Mytilus edulis: one gene and its partners. The protein of the gene in region 1 purifies or fractionates together with the protein of each later gene. This does not show direct contact. Links are inferred from orthologs where the notes say so. Each region holds a gene or a part of one and is shown in the gene's direction. Other genes may lie near its edges. The genes, in order: apoptotic chromatin condensation inducer in the nucleus-like, histone deacetylase complex subunit SAP18-like, RNA-binding protein with serine-rich domain 1-like and putative RNA-binding protein Luc7-like 1.

What was found.
Region 2: the proteins of apoptotic chromatin condensation inducer in the nucleus-like (region 1) and histone deacetylase complex subunit SAP18-like fractionate together in Homo sapiens (co-fractionation; 7 studies listed by BioGRID and IntAct, with this or other methods). This does not show direct contact. The link is inferred for Mytilus edulis from reciprocal best matches to the Homo sapiens genes ACIN1 and SAP18.
Region 3: the proteins of apoptotic chromatin condensation inducer in the nucleus-like (region 1) and RNA-binding protein with serine-rich domain 1-like purify together in Homo sapiens (affinity purification with mass spectrometry; 6 studies listed by BioGRID and IntAct, with this or other methods). This does not show direct contact. The link is inferred for Mytilus edulis from reciprocal best matches to the Homo sapiens genes ACIN1 and RNPS1.
Region 4: the proteins of apoptotic chromatin condensation inducer in the nucleus-like (region 1) and putative RNA-binding protein Luc7-like 1 purify together in Homo sapiens (affinity purification with mass spectrometry; 3 studies listed by BioGRID and IntAct, counting the BioPlex papers as one, with this or other methods). This does not show direct contact. The link is inferred for Mytilus edulis from reciprocal best matches to the Homo sapiens genes ACIN1 and LUC7L2.

What each region holds. Positions count from the first base shown.
Region 1 is NC_092348.1:35,035,470-35,044,339, reverse strand, and holds the start of apoptotic chromatin condensation inducer in the nucleus-like, read left to right. Parts: upstream 1-5,200; 5' UTR 5,201-5,210; coding exon 5,211-5,357; intron 5,358-5,778; coding exon 5,779-5,818; intron 5,819-6,329; coding exon 6,330-6,361; intron 6,362-8,870. Other genes in the region: VPS9 domain-containing protein 1-like, read right to left, coding at 347-442, 3,910-3,982, 4,868-4,951.
Region 2 is NC_092353.1:33,376,462-33,385,219, reverse strand, and holds the start of histone deacetylase complex subunit SAP18-like, read left to right. Parts: upstream 1-5,447; 5' UTR 5,448-5,549; coding exon 5,550-5,615; intron 5,616-8,758. UniProt on the Homo sapiens protein: Component of the SIN3-repressing complex. Enhances the ability of SIN3-HDAC1-mediated transcriptional repression. When tethered to the promoter, it can direct the formation of a repressive complex to core histone proteins.
Region 3 is NC_092352.1:76,793,347-76,801,370, forward strand, and holds the start of RNA-binding protein with serine-rich domain 1-like, read left to right. Parts: upstream 1-4,978; 5' UTR 4,979-4,993; coding exon 4,994-5,016; intron 5,017-8,024. Other genes in the region: protein-lysine N-methyltransferase EEF2KMT-like, read right to left, coding at 43-98, 1,362-1,439, 2,062-2,172, 3,240-3,380, 4,714-4,812. UniProt on the Homo sapiens protein: Part of pre- and post-splicing multiprotein mRNP complexes. Auxiliary component of the splicing-dependent multiprotein exon junction complex (EJC) deposited at splice junction on mRNAs.
Region 4 is NC_092352.1:56,819,841-56,827,689, reverse strand, and holds the start of putative RNA-binding protein Luc7-like 1, read left to right. Parts: upstream 1-4,386; 5' UTR 4,387-4,507; coding exon 4,508-4,568; intron 4,569-5,516; exon of another isoform or gene 5,517-5,588; intron 5,589-5,914; exon of another isoform or gene 5,915-5,978; intron 5,979-6,967; coding exon 6,968-7,062; intron 7,063-7,716; coding exon 7,717-7,815; intron 7,816-7,849. UniProt on the Homo sapiens protein: May bind to RNA via its Arg/Ser-rich domain.

The sequences.
Region 1 (8,870 bases):
CATGTTAATAACTAAAGATATTTAACAATTCTTTAAAAATAATGTGTATGATGAATGTTAAGAGTAGTAAACATTATATAGTTTACTCTTAAATAAAAATGTTTTGATGTCATCTGAAGTTATACATGTATTTTTGATTTCATCATTGTTTGTGATAGTTTTAATCTGATTCTGAATATCAATATCTTAATTACATGTACATTCCTTTCCTAACATGTGTAAATGGTCAAAGAAAGTTAAAACTATTAATATTTGCACCTAAAAAGACACAATAATTTGTGATAAAGTCAGACCATATAAAGAGGCTGTGGACCAGTATAATAAACCACCAACATACTTCACCTACCAATCTGAGTAACAACTGCAGCAACCCTTTCCATGCACTGCTGACCAAGTCTTACCATCTTCACTGTGTCTTTTCCAATGATGACATTCAAGTTACCTAAAATTATATGTGATTATTGGTAAATTTCACAATGAATTTGCCCAGTGGTCAAAGAACAAAGGGCATACAGCCTAGGTGAAGCTTAATTCTCTAAGATAATATGAACAGGAAAGCAAAGCTGATAATATTCAAAACTTCTAAGGCTAACTTCAAAAACAGTATCAATATATATAAAGTTTGTATAAAAAAAACTGCTGAATTGAACATAAAACTATCATGATACTAAGATTGAGGCTAAGTTATTGTCACATGGAATTTATGGAAATCTATTTACACCCCCCACCCACCTAAAAAAAAATTGTTTGTGTTCATACAAAATTATAAAGGGACATAACTAGAAAACTGAAAAAAGTGACATCCCCCAAATTTAAACTTGCTCTGTGATTATGGAAATAAGCATTTTGTATATGTTTCATATCATTTGGTTGAAGCAAACAAAAACTAGAAAACAGAAACCTATATTGAGATGTTCAATGTTTTTCAACCTAAATGAAGTGTGCCTGCTCTTCAAGAAACCCCTTTATTTGACACAACTGTATTCATACATCCAGCACAGTCCAATAGATGCACAAAGATTGGTTGTTTATATTGGTTTTTGTTTATCTAAAGAACATTGCACAACTCCTTATGGTTGTTAAAACTTCCAAAGAATATACCATACTACTAGTATCCCTCATAAATATAATCTTACATCCCCAGTTTGACTTTTAATAAATGAGACTGTATTTACACATTCAACAAAATTCATAGATAGAATATTAAAATAATGATTTTAAGAAATTTTCACAATGACTTTAACAGGTCAGGAACACTACCTTATACAGAAATGAATTAATTAGCATAAAATTGAGAATGGAAATGGGGAATGTGCCAAAGAGACAACAACCCGACCATAGAGCAGACTACAGCAGAAGGTTACCAACAGGTCTTCAATGCAACGAGAAATTCTCACACCCGGAGAATATATATTTATGTCCTTGCAATACGCAGCAAATGTTATTGTTTATTTACGTGTGACGCAATTTATTTTTTCCTGGGTTTTTGACCAATCCACTAAATGAGTAACAATGCATGATGGACTACTACGTGTTTACAATCAACCAAACATGCGTGTTATTTATTAAAATACAACTTATTTTTTGTTCAATGTGGGATTAACAATTTCGCTTAGTTTTTCATTTTTTGTATCCACATTTATAGTTCAGGATATAAAGTATTCGTTCAATGCTCAGATTAACAAAGAGTTGTTTCTATGCCAAGAAACAAGTGTTTGAATTACCCGATGTACAGCCATTAATATGTTTGATGATGACACCGAGATTTCAGGTATTCGTCCACCAGACAGCAGCGAAACAACAGTGAAAAACACAATTACCCATCAGACTAACTTACTAGTATAAAGTAAGCCGTCAAAACTAGCCGGTGCTAATATGCATGAGGGCAGCAAATTTTGTATACTGGAAGATAGTTAAAGAAAAATATATGATCCTTGAATTTTGTGTTCGTAAAAAGGCGAAGACTAGGAGTTTGTCAAAGATCTGATGAGATCACAAAACTTTCTAAGTTTTCACAAAATTTATTTTATGATATTGTACCTTCTTTTATGATTAAAAAGTAATTTAAATCGAGGAAAAGCATGTGTTTATTCCTTTGTCTTTAAGAAACAACAACGAATATTCATCAATAGGCCGAATAGGGACCAATTATACGGTATGGGTGTTTCTCATTGTTGAAGGCATTACAGATGCCCATCACTACTTACATCCATTTCATTTGAGCTTAAATGTATAGTTGTCCCATTGGCAATCATACCACATCTCCTTATTTTTGTATACAAACATTTTTCAGAAAGTTCGGTTTTCCCTTATGAAATATTTACTGACGTCTGTAGAACACTTAAGTAATATTTCCATATTGAGAATTTTAGCGATACAGAACATGCACAAAACCTATATGATCCATCATATTTCATTAAAACTGCACAAGATCTTTTTAAATTCTTGTCTGACAGTTTTAACAAAAACTATAGGTATAATTGATTTTTGACATATTTCAGTATTTGGGACTTTCAAACTTTTCCTTTTGTTCTGTAGGTAGTGAAGCAGCAACTGAGTTTCATTTTGTTTTTCGTCTTTACAAAGTTCAATTTTTTTCTAATAGCAACATTGGATTTTTTTTAACGGACTCTTACATTTGCCAACCTTATTAAAACCATTAATGATGCTATTCATTTTATGTGCGACAAAGTGGAAGCATTGATATGTTTTGTTAAAATTGCATTCTTTTACACAAGTAAATTTTGGTCCCTTTATAGCTTACTTTTCAACATTGAACCAATAGTTGCTTACTTTACTAGATTGTGTCTTGGATGGAAAGATGTCTCATTTGGCACTCATACCTCATCTTCTTAGTTCTATATGCACGGCATGTTTCAGAAAAACTTATAGGTAATATGGAACCCACTATGATCCAGAGGATTTAAATAATTGGAGATTTTGACGTCGTTTGGACAGCAGCCAAACGATAAGAATACCTCTGAGGTATATTTTGGGATTAAATAAGCAACAGACAGACATTATCGATGGATGAAACTATACAAAGTACATGTATGTTAAGTTATTTACCGTCACCGCTTTAATAACACTTATATCTAGCATACTGAATATTATGGTGCTCTTACTTTTAGTTCAGGTCCTGATAAAAAAAAGTTTACACATCCAGTACAGATAGAAGTGTTTCAGTGCCAGTTTTCATGTTTTTCTACACAGAAATGTTTTTGGAATGACATTATACAGGTTTAAAAGAGCTCAAAAATTGTTCATACTAGACAGTGGTCAATTCATCTAAAATTTCACTGTTTCACGCCGTGAAATTATTGCACAAGTACAATGCATAACAATGGAAAAAACCTGTTCAACTACTTTTACAAGGCGAAAAGGAAAGTCGAATCATGAAGCCTGTAAACAATATTTTTTTAATCTGAGCATGCAAATTGAAGATTATGTTATATATTTTACAATAAACATATTCGTAGACCAAAAACATTTATTTTCAGAGTCCCAGACACTATGTTAGTGGACAGTTTTTCCACTAATTCCACATGTTTTCAAATGGTGTAGACTCATAGTAGCCCACAATGCATTGTAGTTCATTGAGTCAATTGGTCAGTTTTTCAAGGCCGTATTGGCCTTGTGTTTTGGAAATTACTATGCAAATATATTTGGACGTCAGGAAATCTAGAGTTCTCGACCTGTTAAAGATAGGGACACTTATAAAAGCACTTTTGTTTATTTTCAAATGTCTTATGTCATGAATTATATTCCTTCTTTTCCATATGATTAGGTGACTAAGGTGGGCATATTAGTAAAGCCTTCATGCTAACCATACTGTAACACTCAACAATCATACATTGTCATATCACAGTTTATAAAATAGAATACAGGGATCATATATATCAACTCTACCTCCAAGTCTAGCATCTTGTAGCAACTTTGTACTAATTCTCAAAACACATTCTAAATACTTCATATATGATTCCTAAAAAAAAATCATTGATACTTTTAAATGAACATGATGAATATATAAATGTTTATGTATAAGTATGTATAACTCTTCTTAACATCAGCCCAATAATGTTAGATCTGTAAATTTAACTTTCACAATTTTTTTTATCTTCCCTTGCCAGGATTTCGAAATTCATGCCACTGAGATATTGTGGCACCAAATTTGCCTTGCACTATGCCATAAGGGCTAGACCACACAACCACCTAGGCTCTACAAATAATAAAGCTTTTGGTGGCATGGTGTTACCTTTCCTTGTCAGTTTTAATCTAGCGTCGTAACACAGTACATGATATAAAAGGCATGAAGATGGAATTGTTACAGATCTGACAGCTGATTTATCTATTGTAAAAGATCATACAAATTAATGTAAGATGTTATCACAGAGATAATTGTATCAAAAGTATGTCTGGACCACTGACCACTCTACAATCCCCACGAAGTTCAGCATTTTTGTGGTTTCACTTTTCCTAAACCTTTATGCTAAATCACCAGAAATTTGTTTCATATGACTTTAGAATTTTCAAGTAACAAGACAAGATGTCTGATGACACAAAGAAGTTTTGGCTGTTGTATGAGGCCAATGGTCATGATGGTCAAGTGTAACAGAATATGTAATATTCCACCATGTCCACTATTATTGTTGAAGCCATAAGGTTTGAATGGCATAGTCTAGACTGTGTCAGCAGTAACAGGGGCAAGTTGAAACTGACAGAGCATGGCAGAAATTTAAAGAAACTTTAAATTTTGTAAATTCAATGTACATGTTTCCTCATAAATCATTCAACTGTTCAACAGTTGGTTTGTGATTACTAATTGAACTTTGGAAATGATCACAAACTTCACAGTTATCATATATACTTGAACTTTTCCGTCTCCATCTAGCTTTAACGCATCTGCTACTGTTCTCATCACTGTTGTGATTGTCGTATTTACAGCTGTCATCCTCAATATTCGTTTGTATTTAAACAGATTATTGTTTTAGGGCACCTGCAGCTTCATTTATTTTGCAGACAGCTTTTTGTCACTTCCGGGATACGGAAACTATCGACAGACAAAAGAAATTTAAATGTAGTATTTTTTTCTAAGTAGGCACAATTGTATAAAGAATTCACTGTGTTTTTACTTTATTTAATTTAATTGAAACTTATAATGAATAAAAAATAACAGTAATTTTCACTATTACGGAAATCAACGACAGCACATGTCAACAATGGCGGACACTGATGCTCCGACTTTAAGGGGAAAAGACATAAATGACTATCGCGTGGTAGATTTGAAGAAAGAATGTGATAAAAGGGGTCTTTCTAAGAGTGGAAAAAAGGAAGATATTGTAGAGAGACTCAGAACGGTAATGCAAAATAAACCGTATGAATATAGCATCTGAAAAATGTATCAGGTGTATCAAAGTGATTCAAACAAAATATTAAAAAAATCAAAATATAATTTGCTGTAGCGGCTAGCCTGTAGTTTTTGGTATTTCAAAAAGCTATGTTCATCATTCTATATCTGTCACACTTTTACCTTGTTAAAGTACAGTTTAAAATGTCAGTAATAATTGTAGTCGAAGCCAAAATTGTTACCCAAGGGAGATAATTCTTAAATTATAGACTAAAAAATGGAAAAAAAAACAATAAATATCTCTTTTAAAGAAAGTCAAAGCACTAACAATGTCGGCTTGATTCTGTTGTTTTTTTCTTGGTTTTAGAACTTGTGACAATCACTTTATAATATGGTTTACTACCATGCTCATTTGTCTTCGTTTATTTCAGTTCCTACGAGAAGAACAGGAGACAGATGAAAATCCTGAAAGTAAGTAACTGGTAGAATGATTGTTTGTAATGACTTTTCTTTATTTGCATACAAAAGAACATTTAGAATAACTTTCTGGCAGCTTGAATTAGGAGATTTATACAGTATATTATGTAAATTTTACTCCATTGATTAAACTTTTTTTTACCAGAACCAATTAGCAACAATTAGATTATTACTTTTACACAAATCAATACTCATATAACATGTACAATATGTAGTGAGATGGATCATCAAATGTATTATCCAAAATAAAGATAACTAGATGATTCCAATCAGAAAACAGTCCATCACAGGAAAGGGTGTAAAAAAACTAAATATCACCATACAGTGTTCATAAATTTTGCCATGTACAAATAAAAAGCTAAAAAGGTCCTGGAATGAAACCTCTAGAAAAAGACAGTACAATGATAAGAATCTCAGAAATAAATCCAGATTCTTATTGTATATTTATATTTTGTTGAATGCCACATGTATTATATTGTTTAAGTATTGTTTTCTTTCTTTCTAGATCAAGATGATAATGAGCCAATAAATGCAGTGGTAAGAAAAATCAGTACTCCAATAAAACTACAAGTTTACTGTTACCATAAGGACTTATTCTTCATATCTTATTATTGCCTTGAAATTAATGGTTGTGGATGTGAATGGATTAATTCTAATAATCATTAAAACAATTATCAACAAATTCAGTACAAGTCTGAAGGATAGAGCTAAAATATAGAGAAAATCCAAACATACTTTTTCATTTATTTCACGCAAAGTCATCTTGTGGAAACAGATCTATCTTTCAATCATAGACACAACAATAACTGCAAAAAACAAATGATTATCAACAAACGAACTGACTAAACACGTTCATCTTTTCTCATTATCAAATATAGATGAAAACTACAAAACTGTAATATCAGAAATATAACAAATTATGTATGTTGATTTGCACAAACTGATTCCAATCATCTTTTTATGGAATACTCTTAACATGATTTAGTTAAAAATAATTTTCTTGACTTGAAGTTGGTGTTGAGTCAAACATGGATGGGGAGATTGCACATTTTAATTAATAACCATTATATATATGACATTTAAAAAAAATTCATAAAATAGAAAATTGAAATGGGGAATGTGTGAAAAAGACAACAACAGGGTTCGACAGCCCGAGACTAGTTACTTTTGTGTGGGGCTAGTAAATGTCCGTGGCGCGGTAGCCCGAGGGGCTAGTAAATTTATTTGTCATTGAACATCAATCTGTTGTACTTTCGGCAAATACAGTCCAAACGCCGGTCATATCTGACAACTTCGTCGAATTTTGTCTACACTGGTTCCATGACCTCTTTATTTACATACAGATACAGATACTGGAGGGTAAATTTTCTACCGTAAACCAGTCGCTATATATAGTCAACTCGGCCTAAGATTACTCGGCCCATAAAGTAAGAATGCACCACGTTTCAAGATAATCCGTTTTGAAATAAACATTAATTATACAGCATATACATTTTGGTTTTATTATATTTTATTAATAATCACATCAGAGATCCTGATAAATCGTGTGCATAGTTTAGCCTTATCTATTACATAGTCGTCGTGTAAATAGTTTAAATTGGAAATGCCCTTTCGTTCTTAAAATAGAGCATTGAAAGGTTCCCTGTTGAAATTTTCCTTTACTCCAAAGGTACACGTGGTGATGAAAACTTTTCGATCTTCTCTGTCTTTATAGAATTAGCGTTTGTCATGTCGTCATAATTCTTTTCGTATTGCTCGGGATTTATCATTACAGTTGCAATGGACTGAAACGAAAGTAAATTTCCGGTAATAATATTAAATGTGATTAGCTTCTTTTTGAGAGCTGAGGGGTGATGATGATAACAAGACTAAGGCATTGGTATCAGAAAGCGTCCATTGCACGTACCGGGATGTATGCATGTCATAATGCATTAACAAGAACAGGGTTAATACTCGTCATGAGACAAATCAGTTGGAACATGACTCAGCATCAGAAACCAAAAGTAAAATAGGGGACAAGTCAACTTATTTATGTAAATAAAATTAAACAAAAACATCGTTTTAATTTGATTATTTTAGTTGATGAGTTTTTTGTAAGCCAAAAAAGTGTCCCATGAAATTGTGTCTTCTGTGAAATTTCGTTCACGGGACAGAATAACACATTTTTAAATTGAAATTTAAATCAGGACAACAGAGATGTAAACAAAAATGGAAATTGGTGAATATAAACAGCTATATGACTTTTTGTGTGATGGTCAATACCCTCTAGAGTTTGATATTATAATAATGAAAGAAGATCATTTAGAAGGCAGGCCAAGCAATTTGTAATTAAAAACAATGAAATGTTTTATACATGTTGACAAAAAAAAAAACACTGGAGAAAACATTCAAACTTGTTATTCATAAAGACAAACTGAAAGAGGTATTGTACCTATTCCATAACGAGAGTGGATGCAATCTTGGGGTTAATGAGACCTCTTGTTAAAAAATGACAATAAAAAAAATGTTAAAACAATTCATTGATTCCTACTATATATTTAAAAACAAATGTCTATCTAGTCTTATTAATTTTTGTAAATTAAATTATTTGGTATTAGACAAGACTTTTAATGCAATTTGGACATGACTATGAAAAATATCCATCAAATTCCTGCCGTTAGATTTTTTTCATGTTAATTTTTTTTTAATTTTTTTTTTTTTTATGAAGATATAAACAAGTATGAATAGTTATTTTTCAGACTAAAAACATCTTCTTAAAAGGCCTCAGAATGCCTCAGAATGCAGGATTTTGCATCTAAATTTCAAAAAATTTATGGGGGGCATGCCCTCAGACCCCCCTAGCAAGTTCGCTGGCCTACGGCCAGCTCACTCGTGGGCCGTTGGCCCACTCACCGGGCTACCTGACACAGAACAGGGCTAATTGAATATGCACCTACAAAAGTTAGTGTCAACCCCTGAACAACCTGACCAAAGAGCAGATAACAGCAGAAGACCACCAATGGGTCTTCAATGCAGCTGTTAATTCCCAAAGCTGGAGGCGTTCTTC
Region 2 (8,758 bases), on another chromosome or scaffold:
TACATTGTATTTGGATATCAAGATGCAGACCTGCCAACTATCCTAATTTCTAGGATATGCCCCATGAGAATTAATTACCAGAATTTTGAAGTTCTTTATTATATAAACAGAACCCTTCAAAACATGTATTCAAATGATAGGCTCATTAAAAAAATATGTCTCCTTATTTTTATTTAAACTTGAAAATAACACATAAGTGCGATCTTAACAATATCTGATTGATTGTTGGTTGCTTAATGTCCAGTAGCAAATATTTCATCCATGTTCAGGATGATAACAATATCAACCATTTTGGTTTGCAGGTGGGTCAATGGATAACACAAGGATTTTGGTTCCAGTTGGCTTTAGTAGTTTCAGAGATTTTTATAAAATATACCAAATGAGGATGATGGACTGTGGATAATGAATATATAGCAACTGTCCCTCCATTCTTTCTAGTTCAAAGATCATTAAGATTTTTTTATTTTTACAGGAGCAAATATTCCAAAAGTTAAAAAGCCTCAATAAATCTGAGAGAATCGTTTTAATCATTAGAAAAACATGGTTCTTTTGTTAGGATACTAATAAATAGCAATATCGAAAAATGCTAAATTATGAGTCTCATACATGATAGAAATCTCAAGACATAAAATACAACTTACAAGATGTTGTCTTGAAAGATGCTTTAATGCTTATAAGGACAGAAATTACAAATACATAAATTACCTTTTGTAAATAAAGAACTCACCAATCTGATATAACTTTCCCAAATAAATATATGCTTTACATGAAAGTGCAACTCAATTTTTAACTTTCATCTGCTTGAATGAAAATATTCTCTAAAATTTTAAATAACATTTAAACTTGATCATTTTTGGGGTGCATCAAAATGCTATCAAATCAGATAGTAAAAGTTTAATTCTTTATAGCATTATTTACTGAAACATTTAAACAGCTTACCTATACAAGCAATTCCATTACCTTTAAATTATTATTACTTTTTTTTAAAAATCAAATATGATCATAATAACAATCTATTGATAAAAATCAAAAACAAATAATACTCACCGTTTATTTTGTCCAATCTTCTTTTGAAAAGCGATGTTGCCGCCTAAAAACAGCTTTATGTTTGCTGATGCATGATAAAGGGCTGTCCCTGTTACAATAGACAACTAAACAGCTATACAATTTTCCTATAATAGATGCACAGCTCTGCTATTAACAATTTTACATTCAAATCACCATGGTATTGATGAAAGTTTTTTTTCAACAATAAAATACAATTCCCTGAATACCTCAGAAAGACAAATATCGATAAATCTACCGATAGTGAAAAGACACTTTTATTCAAATTACAAGTAAGATTATATAACCTGTTAAAAAAAAGTAACAATGAACATTTAAAATTAAAAGTATCATTATTGTTAAAAATAAAACATTTACATTTTACAACATTGTTCAATATGGTAATACAGTTTATTATCTAAAAAAATGTGTTAATTTTCAAATAAATATAATGTTAATTTATGCATACATAGAAAATAGCCATTTTGGTCAGATTCAGAAAGGCCAATAAAAAGTGATGTTCAAGGCAAAATGAAGTATCGTTTTACATTAGGTGGTAATTGATAATCAGTTCTATGGTTTAAGGGGGTCTGCATTACATGTTTAAAGCTCACTGTCAAAAAAGGTGATTTTCCAACCCTGATAAACCCCAATATCCTTAAAATCAGTAGCAACTACAACTTAGCCTTATAATGGTTAAAATATTTTTGAAACCTAACACTGGTTTTTAAATATATTTTTGAAAATTTATGAGATTTAAGAATATATGATTATAATTTAGTGATTATAAACACACAGATTAAGCTTGGTATACAATAAACCACTTGACTGTATTGAAGGGATGTCACATGTTGATAAAAATAAGGATAAGCAAGCATGTATGTTTGCTCCCAAAGTTAGGGAATCAAAACACTAGAAATCCCCTTTTTGCTGCCAAATAGACAAATTTCATGTTTATTGCATTTCCATCAAAATATAAAACGTCTTTGCATGAATTTTTAGGCAAATTAAATTCTTTTAATTAAGATTCAGCACTGCTGTCATTAGGAAATTGTGATTAAGTAACAATGTTAAAAAGAACAAACATTATTTCTAGGTTATCCTGCATAATGACAATCACAAAGATTCTAGATAAACTTGAAGAGAGCAGGGATACAGGCACTTCCTTCTATCTGGTAAATGACGTAATAAAGATGCACAAAATTGACAAACTTTTCCTGTGGAGGACATAACTCGAAAGTAGTCTATTCAACAAACATTTGAGGTCATCAGATAAAACCTAGCAGGTCTTTTTATATTCAGAAAAAGGGGAGGTCAATTTTTCTAATTAGCATAGTTTAACTTTATAAAACATTTGTAATAGAGTACTCAGTAGTAGTTTATACATTATTTAAAGAGGGCATCAGAACACATAACACGAATCTCCCATTTAGATCCTCAAACAAATTAAACCAAATAACTACAAATATCACAATGACATTCAAATATATAACCAACTATGTATATATACCATAATGTTAGTCCATCATGCTAAATTTGGAACAAATACTATCATAAGTGATAAAAATATTTACTCTGGTATTATACTTTTAGTTTCATTGATAAAATGTCTAGTTTGCATTTTGAATAATCTTGATGTGGTTTGTACAGAATATGTACAGAAATATAGCTTATATAAGTTTGCACTTAGTAAAAATAGCTGATTTACAAACCATGCCCATTTTGAAAGATTATATAGGTATTTTGTTCTGTTTACCTTCTGGATTCCTTCTTCATGTTTCATCTCATTGAGACACAACTTGAAAATTTGACATGTTTATGTCTTAGTGTTACAGTTAGATACCAGTCAAATTGAATTTTCAGGAAGACTGAAAGTAAAGGGAGAGACTTTAAGAACAGAATTCAAGTATAAGTTTAAACCCTTAGATATTCAATGCATATATACATATCTTAATTATGCCGCACAGCCCTATGAGACATGTGCAAATAATAATCATTGATAACAGTGCATCTCAACTTTTCATTTCAGGATATACTTGGTTAGGAAACTACAGTTTTAGCCATAAAAGGAGATCCTATGGGTATTATCATGGTTTAATTTATATTTACAGAAGTGCAGACCATACATGTTATCTTGTGTCATCAGTCTGATTAAAACCAGCCCACACTATCCACTTGCGTTAGTGGAAACAAGTAAATAGTGGGGGCTGGTTCTAATCAGGACTAATCAGACTGTTGTGTCATATATATGAGTTTAATTTTACAAAATATTTACCTAACAGTTTTGTGTTTTTTGACAATAACTCCTTCAGTCCATCTCACTAAGGAATTCCTGCAAACAAAAATATACATTTATCATTAATTCTATCTATTTCTCATCATATTCTTTAACACTAAAATGAATATTGTAAACGACTAAAGAACAAGAGGCTCATAAAAGCCTTGATTGTTCACTTGGCAAAATAAAGGACAATCAGATGTTCTTTTTTTTCAACATTTTTTGCACTCTATGAATATGTTTTGGCACTGAATACTCAGTTTCAAAAATACAGATTTTCAATAGCATTCATGTTAAATCAAGAGGAATAACCCATTTTTGTTATTCGGTAACAGGGTCACAATAGCTATTTTCAAAAGATTCAAGATCAGGATTATATTTTTCTAGCCAAGTCTTCCAATCCTCCCAATTTTTTACTCCTCTCAAAATAGCCCTCAACTGTATAATAATTATAATGATCATAGTAGTCTCAGTTTAAATTTAAAGGATCTTTTCCTTCTTCTTCAGTTACAAAAAACCATGTTTACTTTCAGGCACATGCCTGGTTAGTTTTTTTTCAGAATAATTTATTTATAAATTTTTGTTATGTCAAATACTTGTTATTTTCTCAGTTTTTTTGTTTTTTTGTTTTTTTCTAATAACTGAGGGGGAGGACAGGGGGTACCCTTCTCCCTTCTCCCACCCCTCTTCTCCATTCTCCTACCCCCGTTCTCCTTTCTCCCATTAGAATAAAACATCTCCTTTTGAGATATTTTTTCTTGAAATATTAGATCATTTTTTAAAAGGAGAGATATTTTATTTTTTCTCCTTTCTCCCAGCCTTCCTCTCCTTTCTCCTACCCCCTTTCTCCTTTCTCCCACCCCGTTTCTCCTTTCTCCTACCCGGTATCAGGTCCGTTCGCGCCCAAAACACTTTCGCATCCTACACGTTCGCACCTCGCACGTTCGCACCCAAGGTCCATTCGCACTCTACACATTCGCGCCCAATTTTAATTCACATTCCAGTTGAATAATTGGAAAATTATGATTGTTGTTTAAAGTTGCTTTGGTGTAAATACTGAATGTTTTTATAGCTTAATATGAGTAAAACTTTGAAGATTTTAAATGAAAAACACAAAACGGATAATTGTTTTTAACAGCTTGGTCCCTTTGACCTGAAACAATCACACAATTAAATATAGCAATACACTATTTATATAACCAAAACATGATAACATTTATTCAACACAGAAGAAAAAAACGTAGTCAGAATCTCCTTTCATTTTAAAACAAGTCAACTTGAAACAAAAGTTACAGCAATACACTAACCAAAACATGATTAAGAGTTATTCAGCACAAAATAAAACGTTGACAGAATCCCACTTTATTTAGAAAGGATTATTAATTTTTTTAACAATACACTATCCAAAACAGGATTAAGATTTGATCAACACAAACAAAATGCTGTCTCACTTTATTTTGAGACGATGACAACAATTATACTTATTAGAATACACTTGACAAAAATTTGATTACAAAGTTATCAAACACAAAACCAATTAAAATTGGGCGCGAACATGTAGGGTGCTAACAGACTTTGGGTGCGAACATGTAGGGTGCGAAAGTGAAAGGGGGCGAACATTAGTTGGTGCGAACGTGAATGGGCGCGAACGGACCCAGATTCCTCCTACCCCCTTTCTCCCTGTCCTCCCCCTCATAACTCCTTGTTGTAAAAGTTCTGTATTACCCTTAATTAATTCATGACAGTTTCATTACGCCTTTTGTGTCAACTTTTCACTAATGATCACTAACCACAAAAGTTACTTTTTATGACTAATCTTGTAATCTGTTATGATCTAGTATGTCTTTTTTTAAATGTACTGTTAGTGATTACTTCATAAATTTCGCGGGATTTAGAGTAACTTCCCTTTCAAATATTTTACAGTAAAGTGTTGAAACTGAGTCTAGATTGAGTTTATTTCTAAACCTGATAATTTATTTCTAATTATTTATTTTTGTTTGGTTGTGATTTTCTCTGAATATTTTTTTTCAATGGATTTGATTAAAATCAATTGCTTAACAAAACCAGAGAGTGAATTTATCTTTGGCATACTTCTCAATATCTGTAACGTAATGAACACTGCACTGTCGTCATACAAAAGTTGTTTCCCCTTGTAAAAAAAGCTTGCCGGTTTGAACAATAACTGTTTATTTTTAATTCAGAGGCAATATAGTATTTAAAGTTTAAAATGCCTGTCGAATCCGTTGTGGAAGAACAGCCGAAGGAGACAGAAGCTCCAGTAGACAGAGAAAAGGTATAAAAGCACAGCAAGTTCCAAAAAATTATGTCCCTTTTGCACAGGCACTTGTTTCTATGTATGTATGTACTCGAGATTCCGCCAATTTAGACGCACCCCTTGATTGACTGCAAGGGTACAGCGGATCCATGTACACTCCCTAAGGATTAATGGAGATGTGTCCTTTACAATATTATCCCACCACCAGAACAATCCCCACCCAACACCGCCCAAGGGAGCGTGTAAGACACAGGGAAGTCTGTTATTATTGTGGAGGAAGCCGAAGTACTCGGAGAGAACCACCGGGGCCACTCGGTGGAAACAGACAAACCAGAGAGATATCAGAAGATTGATCTCCAGGTCAAAGTAGGGGGGACACCTTTGACCAACCGAGGCCCCCTTTAGTTTAAACATATTTATTTATAGTGGATTGGGAAACAAGTTTTGCAACTTATATTAATCCCTTTCCACTTTGCGGGTGCAAGTGCTGCCTTGTAGCGGCATTAGCCTACTCTTTTTCGAAATCTACAAGGGTGTCTTTAACGTGCAAGAGATATGGCTCTCTCTTAACACGGGTCAGCCATTTATCGTCCCCTTCCGACGGACTATCATCGTTTCCTCAAGACCATACTCGCAGATGGTGTCAAGGGAGAGCCGAAAATTGAGTTCCTAAAATTTTCATCCCAAACGGGAATCGAACCAGGAACCTTTGTGTTAGTAGTCCGATGCACTAACCACTACACCACGGCCCCCTAAGTACCCATTCTAGTTTAAACTCCGGTCTGGGTACCAGAGATGTGTGTGAGAGGGTGAAAATTACCCTTCTGATGTACTGATATTTTTAGCACCCCGAGTGAGAATCGAACTTGAGACCTTCAGCACTGTAGCCATCGGTCTTAACCACTAGACCACGAACTCACACTCTATCTAATTACATTTGTATGTGTGATTTACTATCCACACCAATACGTTTAGATAGCTATAAGTATTTGTAAAGATTTGGACAATAAAAAAAGCACAATATTTATCATGTTTATTAGCACAAAAATGTAAATATCCTACCGTAGTCTACAAATTATCAGTCATCTTGTTGCAAATTATGTTGGTTCGTTCGTTATATGTGTTTGTACTTATCACATGAGAAAACTCCACATTGACATCACTACGCTATTACCAGCGTTCAAAATTAGTGCAGAATACGTTTTCCCTACTCTTTTAAGGTTCATCATATCAAATGGACAAATATGGCCGTATTTTCACCTCAAAAACTACTCTGTGTACAGACTTACCTTTGCTGTTTGGAAAGTTTTAATGCCTAGCATCCACTAGATATATAAAAGTTAAATGCATTTTGTGTTAAAGAAAGATAAAATCTTTTTTTGGTTTTTGCTGGGCATTTTTTTTCCCTTTCTGCAGAAGGTGTAAAAATAAACAAACACCTGAATTACTTTGATACTGTCCACTCACTGACTCATATGAACTCTTTAACTCACCTGTAGTTGTGAAGATACCTCTTGTCCATGTAAATTAAGGACAATCAAAACAATACAAACCGGTTTTTTACCTGAGGGAGCATCTCATAGTTGTACCACAACTTAGATAATTTTCAGACCTTTTGCATGAAGGAAAAAAGAATGCCCATCATATTCCAAAAGAGACTTTATCTTTCTGAAACACAAAATGCATTTAACTTTATTATATCTAGTGGATGCCAGGCATTAAAACTTTTCCAACTTCACAGGTAAGTCTGTACTCAGAGAAATTTTTGGCATGTAAATACAGCCATATTTGTCCGTTTGTTATGATGAACCTTAAATAACAATCATTTCTAAAGATAAGTTTCCATTGTTATTGAAAAGTATTGTACACAAACGTCATTTTTCTAATTATGGCCATTTCAAACCTGCATTACAATAAAATGATAAAATAATTCAAATTACGTTTATTTTCATCAATATTAAGAGTTTCATGAGCATTATTTGTATGTTAAAGTCTAAAATCAATATAAAGAAAAAGGTCTCCGGATGCATAATTTTTTCCGGATTCACGGTGTGTGTACAGTATAAATAATAAAATACAAATACATTTATAATTTAATAGTAATCAGTTCAAGTATCCTTGATCTATTTCATCAGTTATATTTTGATATTTGTTTCTATTAAATATTTTATTGAAGACATAGTCATAGAAGGGAAAAAATGGAGAAAAAAAAATATATTTGTGGTCTGCAGAGTTCAAAAAGTGTGGTGTTATAGACTCTCCTTTTCTGTTCTATGTAGATATTTGGTCCCTTAATCTTATGATTTGTTGAAAAAATAACTTAAATAATTTTTTGAGATCACATTTATAATGATAAAATACATTTTTGGGGTGTTCAGTGGTGAAAAGACCTACCGAAAATGACTGTGTTTTCACCTCAAAACCTGACTAGGTGCCCATTTAACCAGGCGCTGACTCCATGTTTGCCCTCTTTCACTTTTGCACAATACACATTGGCATCCTTTTTATTGGTTTTGTGTTTAAAAATTTTGTAATTTAGTTTTGGTTAGTGTCTAAAACAATTTATTGATATTTGGAATTCTGCACTGCTTGACCTTAGAATTTGCGCCTCTTGACCTTGACACCATATAACAATCACTTTTCCAAATGTGGTGTCAAATATTTATGTCAAGTAATTGCAGACAAATAGCCATTAGGTGTTTTGCTAAAAGCTATAAATATTTTTTTTCTTCCTTTCCTAATAAATATGATAAATTGACATTTTGAAAATGTTTTTTGCGTTGAATAAATCTTAATTATGTTTTGGTAAAGTGTTTTGCTATGAATATGTTTTTTTCAATTGTTCAAAATAAAGTGACATTCTGACAAAAAAATTTGTGTTGAATAAATCTAAATCAAGTTTTGGTTAGTGTACTTGTAGTACTATAAACATGATAAATATTTGTGAGGGCCCTCATGGGGTTTTTGATTATGTGATTACTTGGCCGTTTTTTTAATGATTATTTGATTATTAAGCCAAATATTTCATGATTATTTGATTACCTAGGACTGTATTTTTAGTTTATGATTATTTGATTACTAAAGATAAGGAAATATTTAATGATTATGTGATTATATTGGCAAAAAAATGGTGATTATGTGATTACTAGGACCCCCCCCCC
Region 3 (8,024 bases), on another chromosome or scaffold:
TGTATGTGTTAAACTTCTATACAAAATCAGTAGAATCCCTACCTATTTTCTAGCAAGCCGCTGTTTTCAAATGCCCATTCTGCTAGGTGTAAGGCAGCCTATAAGAATCAAAATGTTTTAAACATGTATAGCTCACAAAAGGTCATTCAGTTAAAATCAATATTTAATCACTGCTTGAAAACCTACAGATTCCTCAGGGTATAGAAATTGATCAGAGTTTCTTTATCTGCCTGGTTCAACTTCTTCACAAGAGAGAACTGTTTGGCTGTGTGTATTTACTACTACTACTGTCACAATGGATATGTTCAACCAATACCACATGAAGGGTATTGCCAAATTTTCACTAGGCAAAATATCTGCCTCTATCAAACATGGCCTCATTTTCAATGAACCGTCAAAATTTTCTGTTTTCATTGTAGTCGACCCACTTTACAGAGTCAACCCCTTGAATGTATATTTCACGTATTTGTTTGATCTCATTCTGAAAGTGCATAAAATATTTACCTGTTCAAAGTCAGGAACTTCTAAAGAGTCATCATATATTTATGTCACATCTTAATTTTTTTTTATTTGAAGAATTTGGTTTCTCTTCTGTTTTATCCTTAAAGTCATAAGAAACGAGTGACCGGTGAAAAATAATGTTCTTCCAATTCTTGAACAAATGCATACAAACATCATAAACTTAGTCTTCTGTGCTCGAATTTATCATTTTTTTCGTGTAAATTTCGTATAATTGTCAATTTTTTTTTCAATCGGTCAGTGTTGTTGTGAAAATATGGCAGGTAATTAAAGTTCGTGTCTTGAAGCCGAAGTTTAACGATTGTCACCTGTTTGTCAACAATTGACGAAAAATAAACAAAAAAGCATGGAAATTGAGCACGTGTTTAACATGTAAATTCAGATAATAGTTTATTTTAAGGACATCCATGCGTATTGTGGTCACCGGATTTTTACGAGATGGGTCACACTGAGGTCACCTTGCATACGGAAAATATCTCGGGGGAATTGCTTGCTGGAAGGAAGCTATTCAAATAAAGTAAACTTCTTCTAAATATGAATAAATTAAAGAATTTTCTTCAGAAAAAAGTACATGTACATAAGTTTTATAATGAAAACTATCCATTGAGTTATTAAAATCATATGCATTATTTTTTTTTGATTTGAGGTTTCTTATGACTTTAAACATATATATATACCAGTATTAGAAGGAAAAATGTGTGAGTTGTAACATCAGGATAAAAGTTTGTTTACAGTCGTGACAAAAGCTCTATTGGTTCATGTTAGTATTTGTTCATAAAAGTGATACTCATATTCTCCATCAAGTAACTACATTTCCCATAATGCCTCTCTCTCTGACATACCTGCCATGTGTTCAGTCCAGTTGTTCCTTGGGATATGAGATGTATTGATTCTTGTAGGCTTACTGTTTCACTATTTGGCTGCAAGAACAAATACAAATAAATATTGGAACTGACAGAACAAAGATAAATCACAAATAATTTTCTGAGGCTTTTTATTTTTACCTCGAATCAAATGTTGAAGACTGCTTTTGGTATCTTGATTAAATGCTATAATCCTTATGATTCTTTAATTTTGAAATCATCAATTGCAAGCTTACATATCCTGGTTTAAAAGATATTATTATGAGATATAAAAGCATTACCAATACATGTATTTACTTTTCTGATAAGATGATCAACAAATTTCATAATAATGAATAAAGAATGTTGACTCATTAGATTAGTAATGAAGCACCAAAAAGTATACTCCACAGTAGCCTTATCTGAATGATATTTGGTGTTTACTTCATGAAAACCCTACACTTTTTCTGGCAAAAAATTATGTCATCATAATGAGATGCTGTTACAAGTAGCAGTTGTAGTTGTTTGTTTAACCTCAGTTTCAAATGGGATTTGCAGGGGAATCCCTGAATAGAAAGTACATGTACATGTAGGTATCTGTTTGTGTCAGAAATGTAAATCAAAACATGTCTACAATGTGACATCATGGGTATTATAATTAAAACAAAAACAAGGGAACCTTGTAGAAACCTGATTTTACCAGATGATATGTTTTGTAACAAAGGATGTCATCTTCGTCTTCAGTCTGTTGTAAAAGGTCTGTGTAAACCTCGTAGATTTCATCACACATTTCAACCTCACTTTCCTCTAACTGAAATTGACAAGTTACATATCAAAACTCTACAAGTCTTTGCAATTATTCCTAAATGATTCATGCCCAGCTACAGGTATATTTGTAGATACTCTATTGTTGGTCCTGGCAACGTCCTACACTTGAAGTCATACCATGAGCTATCTTTAATCATATTTCATGTGATGTTCAGTTACAATGTTTAAATATTTTATGATCTAATGAGTAATTAACATAGAAAACATGTATGTATGTTTATACAAGTTTACCCTATATGATTTTTTTAAATTTGTATTGATGATTTTATGTATCATACATGTAGGGTTGCTGTCTCATTCACTGTCACATATATCTGACATCAACTTTTATTCACATCATTTATTGAAATGGGAGATAACTCTTACAATATACCAAAAATCTTTGCACGAAAAAATCCAATACAACATGCATTTCAGTGGACACAAATTATTTTAGTTGATCCCTCTCAGTAATGATTTCTCGCATTTCTAATAAGGCCAAATAAAAATATATGTGTGGTTCCAGTAACCCTACCGTCTATACTTTTTTCGGCTTAAAAATAGCCTACCCTAAAGATTTTATTTTCATTTTTCATTAAGCACTGTTAAAGTCAGAATGTTGCTCCCATGGACTCAATATAAAAAAAAAATAATAAAATATAAAAAAAATTCCAACCTACCTAACTTTTTTTCAGATGTAACTGGAACCAAACATACTTTTTTATTTGGCATAATCATGAAAGTTATGAGAGAGTTTGATTAAGATTCAAATAATAAGTATCGACAGATTGTAGTTCAATGAATATGTATATTTATTTAGCTTTTAATTTACTGATAACAAAATCAATATTTATACCAATAAAAACATTATTCAATGATCTTATTACAGTATTGAATAGGTAACCTTTTTAAGTTTTAGAATAAGTTTATTTAAAGGAGCGACAAGTTTACATGGATCATTTCTAAATTTCCGGGCACAGTTAACATTTAATTTTGCTTGACATGACAACTCAAACCAATATGTCATGTATTCTAACATTAACTAAATACGATTCTGATTATTAATCAAACCTTGTGAAGTAGGGTCTTCGTGAAAGCTTTTTGGTAGGATACTGACGGAGGATATTTTTTGCAAAGTTCATTTAAAACTGTGGCATTGAGGACAGCCTTCTGTTCCTCTGGACCAATCTGTGCACTTGTAATAAGCTCTGTCTGGAAAAAAGAGTAAAAAATAAAACAGATGCTATTATAATACTATTTCAATTTTTAAGGATTTATTGATTGGTGTAACTGTTTGCTCAATGTCCAAATGGTAATTTTTGTTTATCATATAGTATTAAACTTATGTTAAAGGGGCACTAGCTGTCAAATTCATGGTCACCGATTTGACTCATATTCTCATATTTGATTTATAGCAATGTAATATTTTATCCAAACTATCAATAGTCTAAAATAAACAGTTTACAGAGCATGGGGTAGATAATATATAGGTTTGTTTCGTGTGTATTTTAGTCCAGACGCCATCTAATTACCTATCGATTTAACCTCAGATGACCATATAAGCGATGTACATTTTGTAAACATAAATAAAGAAATGACTAGATTAAACCAACATGTGCAATTGGATTTTTATAGGTCTGTTTGATTTTATTTTATAGATCAAAAATAGATGTTTCTCATTGTTTTTAACCGTATAAGAAATGATTATATGTGCATCAAATTAGTAATCAAATGATTTACCGTAGTTTCACTTTCATTGTTGACATTCTTTTTTTTTAAATAACCAGTACACGTACATGACGTACAATGCATGCGTTGTCAATCTCTAGCTAGGGGTTAAATTGAAGTTCACATGAATACGGATTTAAAGAGGTCGACTCATTCACTTGCAAGTGAATTACTAATTATCAATGTTTCTTAGCGTAATTTGACAAAATTGAACCTTTTAGGCTGCAAAAAGTGAATTGTTATTTCACTATTTCACTGTCATTATTGATTGAACAGGAAAAAATCAAACATCACATGATAAAATTTATTCAACACACCAAAAAAAACGTAGTCAGAATCTCACTTCATTTTGAAACAAGTCCATGAAACAAAGTTATAGCAATAGCCAATACACTAACCAAAACATGATTGAGAGTTATTCAACACAAAATAAAACGTTGACAGAATCCCACTTTATTTAGAAAGGATTATTATTTTTTTTTAACAAAACACTATCCAAAACATAATTAAGATTTATTCAACACAAAAAAAAATGTCTCACTTTATTTTGTGACAATGACAACAATTATATTTATAAGAATACACTTGCTTACAAAGTTATTAAGCACAAAACCAATTAAGATTGGGCGCGAACATGTAGGGTGCGAACGGACTTTGGGTGCGAACATGAGTGAGTGCGAACGTGAATGGGCGCGAACGGACCCGGATTCGATATAGACCAAAGATAATTTTTGTATAGTAAGCCCTGCGCAGAAAACTCAACATTTGGATAAATATAAGTATATTGACGGAAAACAAACATAATATGACTACTAACTCTCCATTTTATTCGCCTTATCGGCACCATTTCAAAAAATTGACATGAAATTTCATGCAAAATAACTTTGGTATCAATTGAGCTCATGGAGGCTGCCATTTTTATTCCTTAAAGTAAAAGAAATTCTCATTGGCAGGCAATTTAAAGACTTCATATTTCGTCCAATCAGAAACGAGCTTTTAAAGTGTAACGGCGTCAGAACCTCTACCTCAAAGATGTAAGAATTAATTTTTCTAATCCATTAATATCGTAGCCATCCATCTACTTTACCTGCATTTAAATGTCAACATCGATTGTTGAAACGTTTAATAATTAAAATTACCCTTTTTCGTTAGAATTTAAGAAAAATTGGGAATGGGTTTTTTTTCTAAGCATTGACCCCCCTTTTCTGTATCTGTTGTTAAAATAATTTCTCTTGTTTCCTGTTACATTTCGTGGTTGTAGTATGCAGTAACAGAACTAATCAGAAGTCCTATGCAAATATTTAATTGCACAAACTCATTTTAATGCCAAAAAAGGTTAATTTATATTGATAAATTGATTGAAAGAATGAATACACCTTATAGCTATACACCTTATCGCTATTTGTCCGCCATTGCTGGAAATCACACAGGTTCCCGTAAAATTTTGACGTCATAAAACAAAATGTCTGACGCCACAATGGAAAAGTGATTGTTGTTGACGTCAAAAGTTCAAACGGACGGGTCAGCCGGGAATAGCGATAAGGTGTATTTGTCTGACGCCCCAATAAAGAAGTAATAGTTGTCTTGTCAAAAGTTCAAGCAGCCGGGATATACCTTATCGCTATTTGTCCGCCATTACTGAATATCACACAGGTTCCAGTAAAATTTTGACGTCATAAAAAAAAATATCTGACGCCATAATGGAAAAGTGATTGTTGTATGTGTCAAAAGTTCAAGCAGCCGGGATTAGCGATAAGGTGTATAGTTTATACTTGTTGATATATCATGATGAATGAAAAAATCAATATTGATTAATATCAGTTCACTATTCTATACTGGTCCAACAACAGAGTTAACATCTTTTGATTTTTGTTGTCATTGGAAATGAAGAATCCATATATATACAAAATGTACAGTACCACTATTTACAATGAGACCACTCTCCACCAGAGCCCAAATGACAAGACATTTACAGTCTTCATGCTTAACTTTTGAGTCCACAAGCCAGAAGCCCAATTTTTGGAAAATTTTAGTAGTATTCTGTTGGCTTGTAGAGGAGAATCTTACAAGTCTGAAAGCAATTTTACATGCCAATGCCGTAGGACTTGCGTACGGTTAAGCGCTTTCGCGTCGATCCGGCCCAAGTCGATCCGTCCCACGTCGATCCGGCCCCACGTCGATCCGGCCCCACGTCGATCCGGCCCCAATAAAAAAGTATATTTATAAGGATAAAAAATAAAGATATATATTAAAGTAATTCATAAATGTTTATGATTTTTATTATAATGTAAAGGCGTACGGTAAAAAAAAAAAATTTCTTCAGATGAGTATACAAACAACTAGGTTGATTATGTTTTTATTACAAGTTTTCAAGATTATTGGGTATAATTATATTAAAACAATTCAGACATCAACATTAATCAGCAGTAATTAGCGTTTTCTTTCAATTGACTGTGATCCTAACAAGTTTTTCATCTTGTGTAATAACAAATAGTTACATACACAACGGTACAAGCCGATCCCCAAGCTGATACATACAAACTTTGTTTTTCTTTTTAAGTTCTTAAAATTTCTTAAATTGAGAAATGTTGTTAGATTTGCCGAATCCTATCTATAAAAGAGAAGACATGGAAGTAAGTAATTATTGAAATGACAGTCTAATAAATTCTTCAATAAAAAAAATATACGAAACTGTTATTAAATATTGTCATCTGCTGTAGCAATTCTTCTCTGTTATATGTACTCAACATTTCCTTTCTTGCAATAAAGAATAATGGATACTCATATAACTTGTGTTTTTTTCTACACACAACTATTCAAAATACTGTCAAATTTATGAAAAATATATCGATATAGGAAGATGTGGTGTGATTGCAAATTCCATTTATACTGTGTCACAATTTCCTCCAAGATCAATATAGTTATTTCTTATTTTATTATGGGGCCGGATCGACTTGGGGCCGGATCGACGTGGGCCGGATCGACTTGGGCCGGATCGACTTTGGGCCGGATTGACTTGGGGCCGGATCGGTTTGGGGCCGGAACGACCGGATACCCGGTTAAGCGTGAAGACTGCATTTAACAACTTGAAGGGCATACAATACAGTTTTGGTCCCGTATTTACATTTTGATAAAAATTTCCATATAAACTATTTTTACCTGATTAAATCAAATATGTAATAAAAAATATGCCTTCATGTGCTACTTTTTGAGTAAAATGAGGTCAAAATTTTGTATATTTGCTAAAAATTCGGACTTGTGGCCGTATTTTCCTTTTCGAAAGAAAGACATAACTTTTTTGTTTTAAAAGATCACAAATTGTTTTTGTTAAATAATTTGTAATTTATGTATTTTATAAGTATCCTAAAAATTTATTCATTTTTTTAATTCAGAAATAATTGTAGAAAAAACATCATTTATTGCTGTTTATTTATCAAATTTTAAAAAATTGCACTATTTACGTTTTCATGAAAATTGGCAAAAATAATCTTGCGTAATCAAACCAAATGGCATTTTGAAAAAGAGGGGTTCATGAACTCGTTTTCAAGTGAAATAAGTTTGAATGATAAAATCAGTCGAAAACTGAATCTTTCCCGATAAGTCATACACTGTAGTTTGACGTTGCGAAAATAACAATTTACGGTAGCAACGTCATTACCTCCCCTGTAACTATCGTATGCCCTCAAGTCTCTGAGTCTTGACAACCTTCAACATTACAATGCTGTAGTTGTGTCAGTTGTGTATTTAAATTTACTTAAATTTATTGATGTACAGTTTTTAAAAGCATTTGCTTTTACTGTCATTTAAAACATGTAAGGCTATTTTGTTAATCAACAAAATACATGTAGAGGGGACACAATTTTCGTTTTACAGTTCTTTTAGGATTGTGTAAAAGTATCTGTTTGCTTGGCTTTTGTATTGAAAATGAAGCCAATTTGATTAAGCATTCCTCAAAATTTGAAATGCATATTTAATAGAAAGTTTAATAGTTAACCCTTTTCCACAGAAATTTTGAGTCCCCTAAAGGTTACTCAACAGAATTCATTAGAACGCAGTGATTCAAGAAATTCACCTCTCTCTGATAACTAATATTGATAGTTTTACCTGTACCCAGACAGTTAATTTTTT
Region 4 (7,849 bases), on another chromosome or scaffold:
GGTTCCGTGTTTCGGACAAGCTAGGTTATTATTGGTCAAAGGTCACTTCTGTAATTGTTTTATTCACCATGCAGTAAATGTTCCAAATATAAAAAGAAAAAGATGAGGCATCGTTGTCAATGAGACAACTCTCCATGAGAGACCAAAAAAACGTAGAAATTAACAACTTTATGTTACCGTACGGCATTCAATAATGAGCAAAGTTTATATATTACGAATGTTAAAACAATTGTAACAGCATATAATGTATACATAAAAATAAGAAATTCTGGCATGATTGCCAATGAGACAACTCTTCACCAGGGACCAAAAGACACAGACGTTTACGACTATATGTCACCTTACAGCCTTCAATAATGACCGAAACCCATGCCGCATAGTTAGCTATTAAAGGCCCCGAATTACAAATATAAAACAATTCAAAGGAGAAAACTAATGGCCTGATTTATTTACAAAACAGTGAATGAAAAACAAATATGAAATACAGCAACAACGAACGATCGATGCGCTCCCCTGAGTTTGGTCAAGCACAAACATGCAGGACGTGACGGGGTTGAACTAGTTTGTTTGCGAAAAACCCTCATCTTAATCTGAGACAGTGGTGTAACATAAAAAGCTTAAGAACCAAATATAAAAATCAGTGGAAAAGTAGTTCAGTGGTTGTTGTTAGTCCGTGTCTGTCATATTTGTTTTTCGTAAATTGTTTTGTTATGAATTAGGCGATTAGTTTTTTAAATTGTTTCAATTTTTTCTCATGTCAGAAGCAAATATGTAGAAAAACCGAAAAATCGTTTATTTAAATGCAAAAACTTCAATAACGAGTCGACTTCCTATTTTTGTCATGTCTTATTTGTAAATCATGGCTTACTGAACAATATATAGCATCTAAGTACCTATCTATCTGTTATAGTTTTTGAGATAATAGGCAACAATGCAAAAATATTGGAAAAATCTTCATTTATGGGCCGAATAACTTCAGTATAGGTTGTCAATGAAGATCTCGATCATTAAATCTCGAATTGTGTATAATGGTGAAATGTCAGAATACTTTTCATGCAATATCGGTGTAAGACAGGGTGAAAATATGTCTCCTTTTTTATTTTCATTGTATTTGAACGATCTTCAACAGTTTATTGAAGAAAAAAATGTATGTGGTTTAAATTGTATTACTGATGAAATAGAGAAGAGTTTGATATCTACTTAAAACTGTTTGTGTTATTGTACGCAGATGATACAGTGTTATTTTCGGATAATGCATCCGATCTACAGTTGCAATTAGATATATTCTTTGAATATTGCAGTACCTGGAAACTAAACTTGTCAGTGAAATCACAATATGATCTTTTTGATAAAATTGTTAAGCCAATTCTCCTGTATGGGTGTGAGATTTGGGGTTTCAGTAATACTGATATTATAGAAAAAGTGCACTTAAAATTTTGTAAACTATTATTAAACCTTAAGAAGTCGACACCGAATTTTATGATTTATGGTGAACTTGGTATTTATCCCATGTCTTTATATATACAGCTGCGTATGGTTAATTTTTGGTCAAAAATGGTAAATGGGGATGATAACAGGATTGCTAAAATACTATACAAATATATGTTCTTGAAAAGTTCTGACAACCAATTTAGGTCAGATTGGTTGAAATACGTTAAAGATATATTAGATAAATGTGGATACAGCAATATATGGTTGTCACAAGGAAATTTTAATCCAAAGTGGTTGGGTATTAGTTTAAAACAAAAGTTATCTGATCAGTTTCAACAGAAATGGAGAGCTGATATTGACTGTTCGTCAAAAGGTTTGGCCTACAAATTGTATAAACAAAATTTTGAATTTGAGGAATATCTGAATATTTTAAGTGATAAAGATAGAATAACATATTGTAGATTTCGAACGGGTAACCATAAGTTACCAATCGAAACTGGTAGATGGAATAAGATTGAGCGAAACCTTAGATATTGTAACTTATGTTATTGTAACGAGATTGGCGATGAATTTCATTACACTTTGCAGTGTAGTTCTTTGGCAAATTTTCGATCCCAATATTTGGATACTTTTTTCTTGCACAGATGTAACATACTAAAATTTGAAAAACTATTTCAGTTAAAAATTAAAAATAAGTTGAAAAAGCTGTGCAAATTTATCAGGGTTATAACTTTTCAAGTGAGTCTTCCTGGTTAATCACCACTCTTCGCTACTATACTGTTTATTTTATATGATTTGATATTTTCATCTCATCTTGTCATGTGTGTTTGTGTTATGTTATATAACTTTTGATGAACTTCTTTGTACCATTGTAATTTTATGGTGTTTGAGAAATAAATAATCTTGAATCTTGAATCTTCAGTTGACTTATTTGTAGAATTGTCATCATCTTCGTTTTTGACGTCTAATGTTTTTGTCTATCTATTACGGTTTTCGAGATAAAAGACAAAAAAAAATATGATAAGTCCTTTGGATAAGAGCAATGAGTTCTATAAAAGTCTGTATACAGTGGACATCATGTAAATCTCAACATTCCCAACAAATTTGCTCCTGTCACATTTTTTTCAGACTATGGCGGCTTTGAAAAAGAAGTCATTGTAGTGGATGGAATAATTTTCGATGATAACGCGGTTCTGTTGAAAAGTCGTCGAATATTAAAAATTCGGAGAAACTGAATCCTTTAGATAAAATTTGGTCCAAAGGTAATTGACATCATAAAGGACACGAATGTAAACCAAAATCACGTGTATTCAATGTCTGTTAAAATGAAGCATGGTTAAAGAATTGAAATTGTCGAATTGATACCCCTTTTAGTATATTGTTTGAATTGTTGTAAATTTGTAATGTAAGCGTGTTTTTTTTAGCTTTCTATGCGATAAAGTCGGGTTTTTGCTCATTTTGAAGGCCCCACGATGACCCCTCAACCTGATTAAAATTCAGATCTATCAACAGTCGCACCCTCGGTTCGTATTATGAAAGGAAAAGGCAATCAGAGATCTATATTTTAATTAGACTGAGCTTTTAATTACTTGTTTGTAATGAAAAACTAAGAATGTTATGAATTTTAAAGTGAGAACAGCATATTATCAAAATATTATATCAATTAAATTTTATTTATCAAAATACAACCCAAAAAGTCTGAATACCTGTGAAATAAAACAAATCATAACGTAACGTCGTTTTAGTCGTATGTTTCGGGTCTCAATTTTTACAAAACTGTTTTAACATGTTATCTTAGATTTTTCAATGATTGTATATTAGGGGACGACCATTTTATATTCGGGGGGGGGGGGGGGGGGGATCAGGAGGATTTTGAAAATAAATAACTCAGCCTTCATAATCACAAAAATAAATGGTTTGTTCTGTGGTAGTTTGAAAATAAATTACCTGACTTGCAATGTATTGAAAATAAATAACTCAGCAGGTCTAATCGAAAGTATGAGATGGCACCAGATTCTTTATAAATTCATCTTTTCCCCCCAAAAAAATCGGGGAAACACTTCCTAATCTTTTTAATAATAAAAGTATAAATATTATTTAAATATACTTGAAATGTCTGAAAATTGGTTTCATTTAACTTGAAGAATATATTGTCTCAGGAAACCTAACCTCACTTTTATTATAACAGGGCCGTAACTACATTGAGGCAAATGCCTCATGTAGGAAATTTCAAAACTAAACGCTTGTCTCCATATCAAATTGTGTTCAGGGCGAGTGCCTTGCAAGAAGCAAGTTCTGTTTTCCCTCAGACGTAGCCCTGATTTTTCGGATCAATGTTTCTTATTTATTTGTCTTTCGTTCATTGATTGCCCTTCTGTATTCTGTTAGTGTTGCGTTCCTTTTGTAATCTAGTAATCTTGTTATGAACTTGATCGTGAGTTTAAAAAAATCGAATATCAAATGGCCGTCCCCTTAGACTTAAAAAGACCATTGCCAAATTAATGGACAGTGGAAGATAGTTGCCACCTTCTCATTTGCAAGCATACCACTACATAAGTTCCTTATTTTATACTAATGTTGAAAGGTTACTGAGAATAGAAATTTATGAGATTTTCAAATATATTTATGAGTATGATCAGAGACATATAATATGTCTCTGGTATGATATATAGTACTTATCATCGGACTGTTGGTGTTTTGGTTTTTTTAACGTCTACGCACTTCTGTCTTGTCCGCTGTCTCTGTTACTTTTTATATCCAATACAGACGGATCAACAGATTTCTGACAGTAAATTCGTTTTTTAATCTATTGAGACATGAATTTACAATATACCTCATAAAGATAATTTACCTGACAGGAATAATAAAATCATAGACGTAACTCGATATATTCTCAAAATAATCATACTTTTTATCCAGAATTTAGGGTACAATACCGGGATTAGGACGACTTCTTCTAAACAGTCCTCGATAGGTGGCGCTCTATCCGCCTACGTGTTGACGCCATGAATGTGTAGTTGTTGAAATATAATTTGCTTAGACGTTCATTGTAGACAAAAAATAAATAGACAGTACAATGTCTGCCCAAGAACAAATGAGGGCGATGTTGGATGAGCTGATGGGCACAGCAAGAGATGGTATGTTGAAGACTCTAAGGACAAAATCATGCATGAAAACCAGGAAGCAAACAGGATTTGAAAAGCCTTCCGACCCAAGCCATTAAAATTTATTTTCTAAATGTTCATATCATGGTTGTCGGAATACAAAATGTTCAATTTGAGAATTTTAAGAAAACAAGAATTTGTTGCACTGTTTTCGTTTATGAACTTGTGTTTGCAAAAAATCTTGTTTTGCCTTTTGGCGTCCTTGACCTCTTTAATAAGGGGAGATAACTAAAACTTGTTTGAGAAATTTGTATATTGTTATCTTTGTCACATTTTAATTTTTCGGGATAGTAATGATTTTTTAAATGATGAGAAATTAAATTTCAACTTATGTTTGAAGTAAAGAAATTTAATTAATACTTATATATTATAAGTTTGGCTGTCAGATGAATCAAATATGAAATATTATTAAAGTCGGTCTATCTATGATTATGAATTGAAATGTAGTTTGTACCTCTCACTTTATATATGTAGAGTTGTATACATTTCTATGAGTGGTTTGGTATATGTTTTTATTCAAATGCTTTAGTTGTCTGCTTTACAGTAACATTTGTTTTCAGGATTTTTTTAATGTGTAACTGTTTTATACATATTTTTTATTACTTTAAAAGCACGCTAAATATGTATTTACAAATGTATCTAACATAAATATATTTTTTAATTGAGTGATAAGGTAAAGTAAGAGATTTTCAGACTGGAATTTATCTTGTAGTTTGAGATAAAACAGTCATAATTAATAAAAGTTATCAAATATTGCATTTGTTCTCATTTTACATGTTTAAAGAAAATATATTTTGTTTCAAATATTTGCATGTATTTCAAATATTTAAATGGTATGACTCTAATATTTTATGCAAACAGTTACACATTGAAATACAATAAATTCATGGGTTTTAATAATTTGCATCCCTATTTTTCAAGGGACCCCTTTCATATGGTCAGGTGTATTGCAGTCAAATTTGCCAAGGGTTTTAAGGTGATGAAGTCCAAGCCGTGAGTTGAAATTAAATAGCTTTCATTGCAGAGTACTATTTCTATTGTAACTTTGTCTATTTCATGTATTAATAAATTTTCATTCTCATAAATAGCATAAATCAAGTCAATTTATCAAAAGGTAAAATATGTTAGCAGGTAATGTTAGAAAGGTAAATTTATTAACAGGTAATTTTAGGGTAAATTTATAACAGGTAACTTTATAATGTTTAATATGTAAACTTTAACTTTTATTAAGCCAATATTGCATACTGAAATGTATTTGATAATTTCTACACTTAATTAATGAGCATGTTGGCAGCTTTGAGGAATCTTTACTGTTGCAGGTGAGAGGAAAAGGTGTAAAACTAAGAAAAAAGCATGCCACTGACAGATGATAAAAGGATCGCAGTGTGTATAATATGTAAAGTACAAACAATCTAATGTTTGAAAATACTGTCAAAAGATTTGGTTTATGTTAATGTTTCAAGATTATGACCAGAAGTTGTGATCAAACATGCTTTTAGAACAGTAAAAATGATAATAGGACAGAGTTTACCCTTTGTTTCTAAAACTTGATTTTGAAAAATTTCTGTGTTCATAAATTTGTCAAAAAGGAAAAATTTGAATGATAAGTACAAATTTAACTTGGAGAAACATAAGGAACAACTAAACTCTGCTACTTTGAAAACTTAATTACTTTGATTAAATGTATAGTTTACTTTAATATTCTGATGTGGTATTGTAAAAAACACATGAATCCTTTGTACAACATTTTTGTACAATATATGAATAAGTTTTTTTAATCGAGAACAAGGATATTGGATGTCACCAGTAAAACTGTAAGTACTTGTATGGTTCATAAATGTTTTTAAATAAATAAATCTTAACATATCAATTATTTTCAATTTATTGCAAGAGCAGATATGTTGTGTGTATTTTTAAAAGCCAAATCTTTTGACAGAAATATAGATAAAAGTACATGTCGCAATCTATGATATTCTAAATTGTTTTCTATATTGAAGTACTGCAAAATTTGGTAACAAAAAAAACATTAGAACTAATAGTTTGCAACTTGTAATGCTTAATTATCATAGTAATGTATAACAGTTGGCATAATGATATTTTTAGACACAACACAAGGAACTAATGTTTTGGCTTCTGAAATGTAAAAAGAATGTGTACACTTAATGTACATAATGGCACCTCTTTTCTGAAAACCAGTCAATTTGGAAAACAAAGATTTGATTCCTTTACAAAGATTTTTGTTATTTGTAAAATACAAAAGATTTCATTCAGTCATTATGCGAACTGATTATAAAATGGGCAAAATATCAAGGTGTAAAATTTGTTGAATTTTCTAAGTTTCTAACATGTTTGTCGAATCATATAATTTCTAGGAGATCGATCCAGATACAAAGTGAAGTTTGACGATCCTCGGGTATGTAAGAGTTTCCTGCTAAGCTGCTGTCCACACGATATTCTTTCTAGCACGGTAAGTGATTGTATATAATGGAAAAACATGACATGGAAATTGGTACGTACATCCCACATAAAGTTTGATAGGGTTTCCTTAGCCATGTTAGCTACATGTAGAACACATTTTTTTTTTATTTGGAAAAACATGTTTACAATGTTTTTTCAATTGGTTTTGACAATTGATAAATGTATATACAATTTTATTGAGGCAATGTATCATCCCTATTTTCCCTATTAAAAGAGCAAGTAAATGTGTGGTTAATTAGTAAATACTGATTGGAATAATTACAAAAGAGGTGCAAATTTTCAGTAAGAAGATATCAGAGGAACCAAAGTACATGCAGACATCTTTGAGATATTATTTATATAAATACAGACATATGCTTGAATCAAGACAAATTCATTGTGCTATTCTAAGTTTCAAAACAGTTAGGCTAAGTAAAATATCTCTACACAATATAGCTTTTTAAAAGTTGTCATCAATTACAAGATCTTTCCATGTTTCTGATAAAAAAAAAAACATCTTTAGAACAGACATTTGGGTATAAAGGAATTAGTTTAAATTTAACATTGAATTTTGAAGGTTTAAGAATCATGGAAGGAAAATTAAATAAAAGGTTAAAAATGAAGATGTTGTTTGATTTGTGAATAACTGTTATTCTGTTTACAGAGAATGGACTTGGGTGAATGTCCAAAGATCCACGACTTAGCACTCAGGGCTGATTATGACCAAGCCTCAAGAGGAAAAGATTATTACTATGATATTGATGTAAGTATGATCGCATACATAGTCACCCATCTCA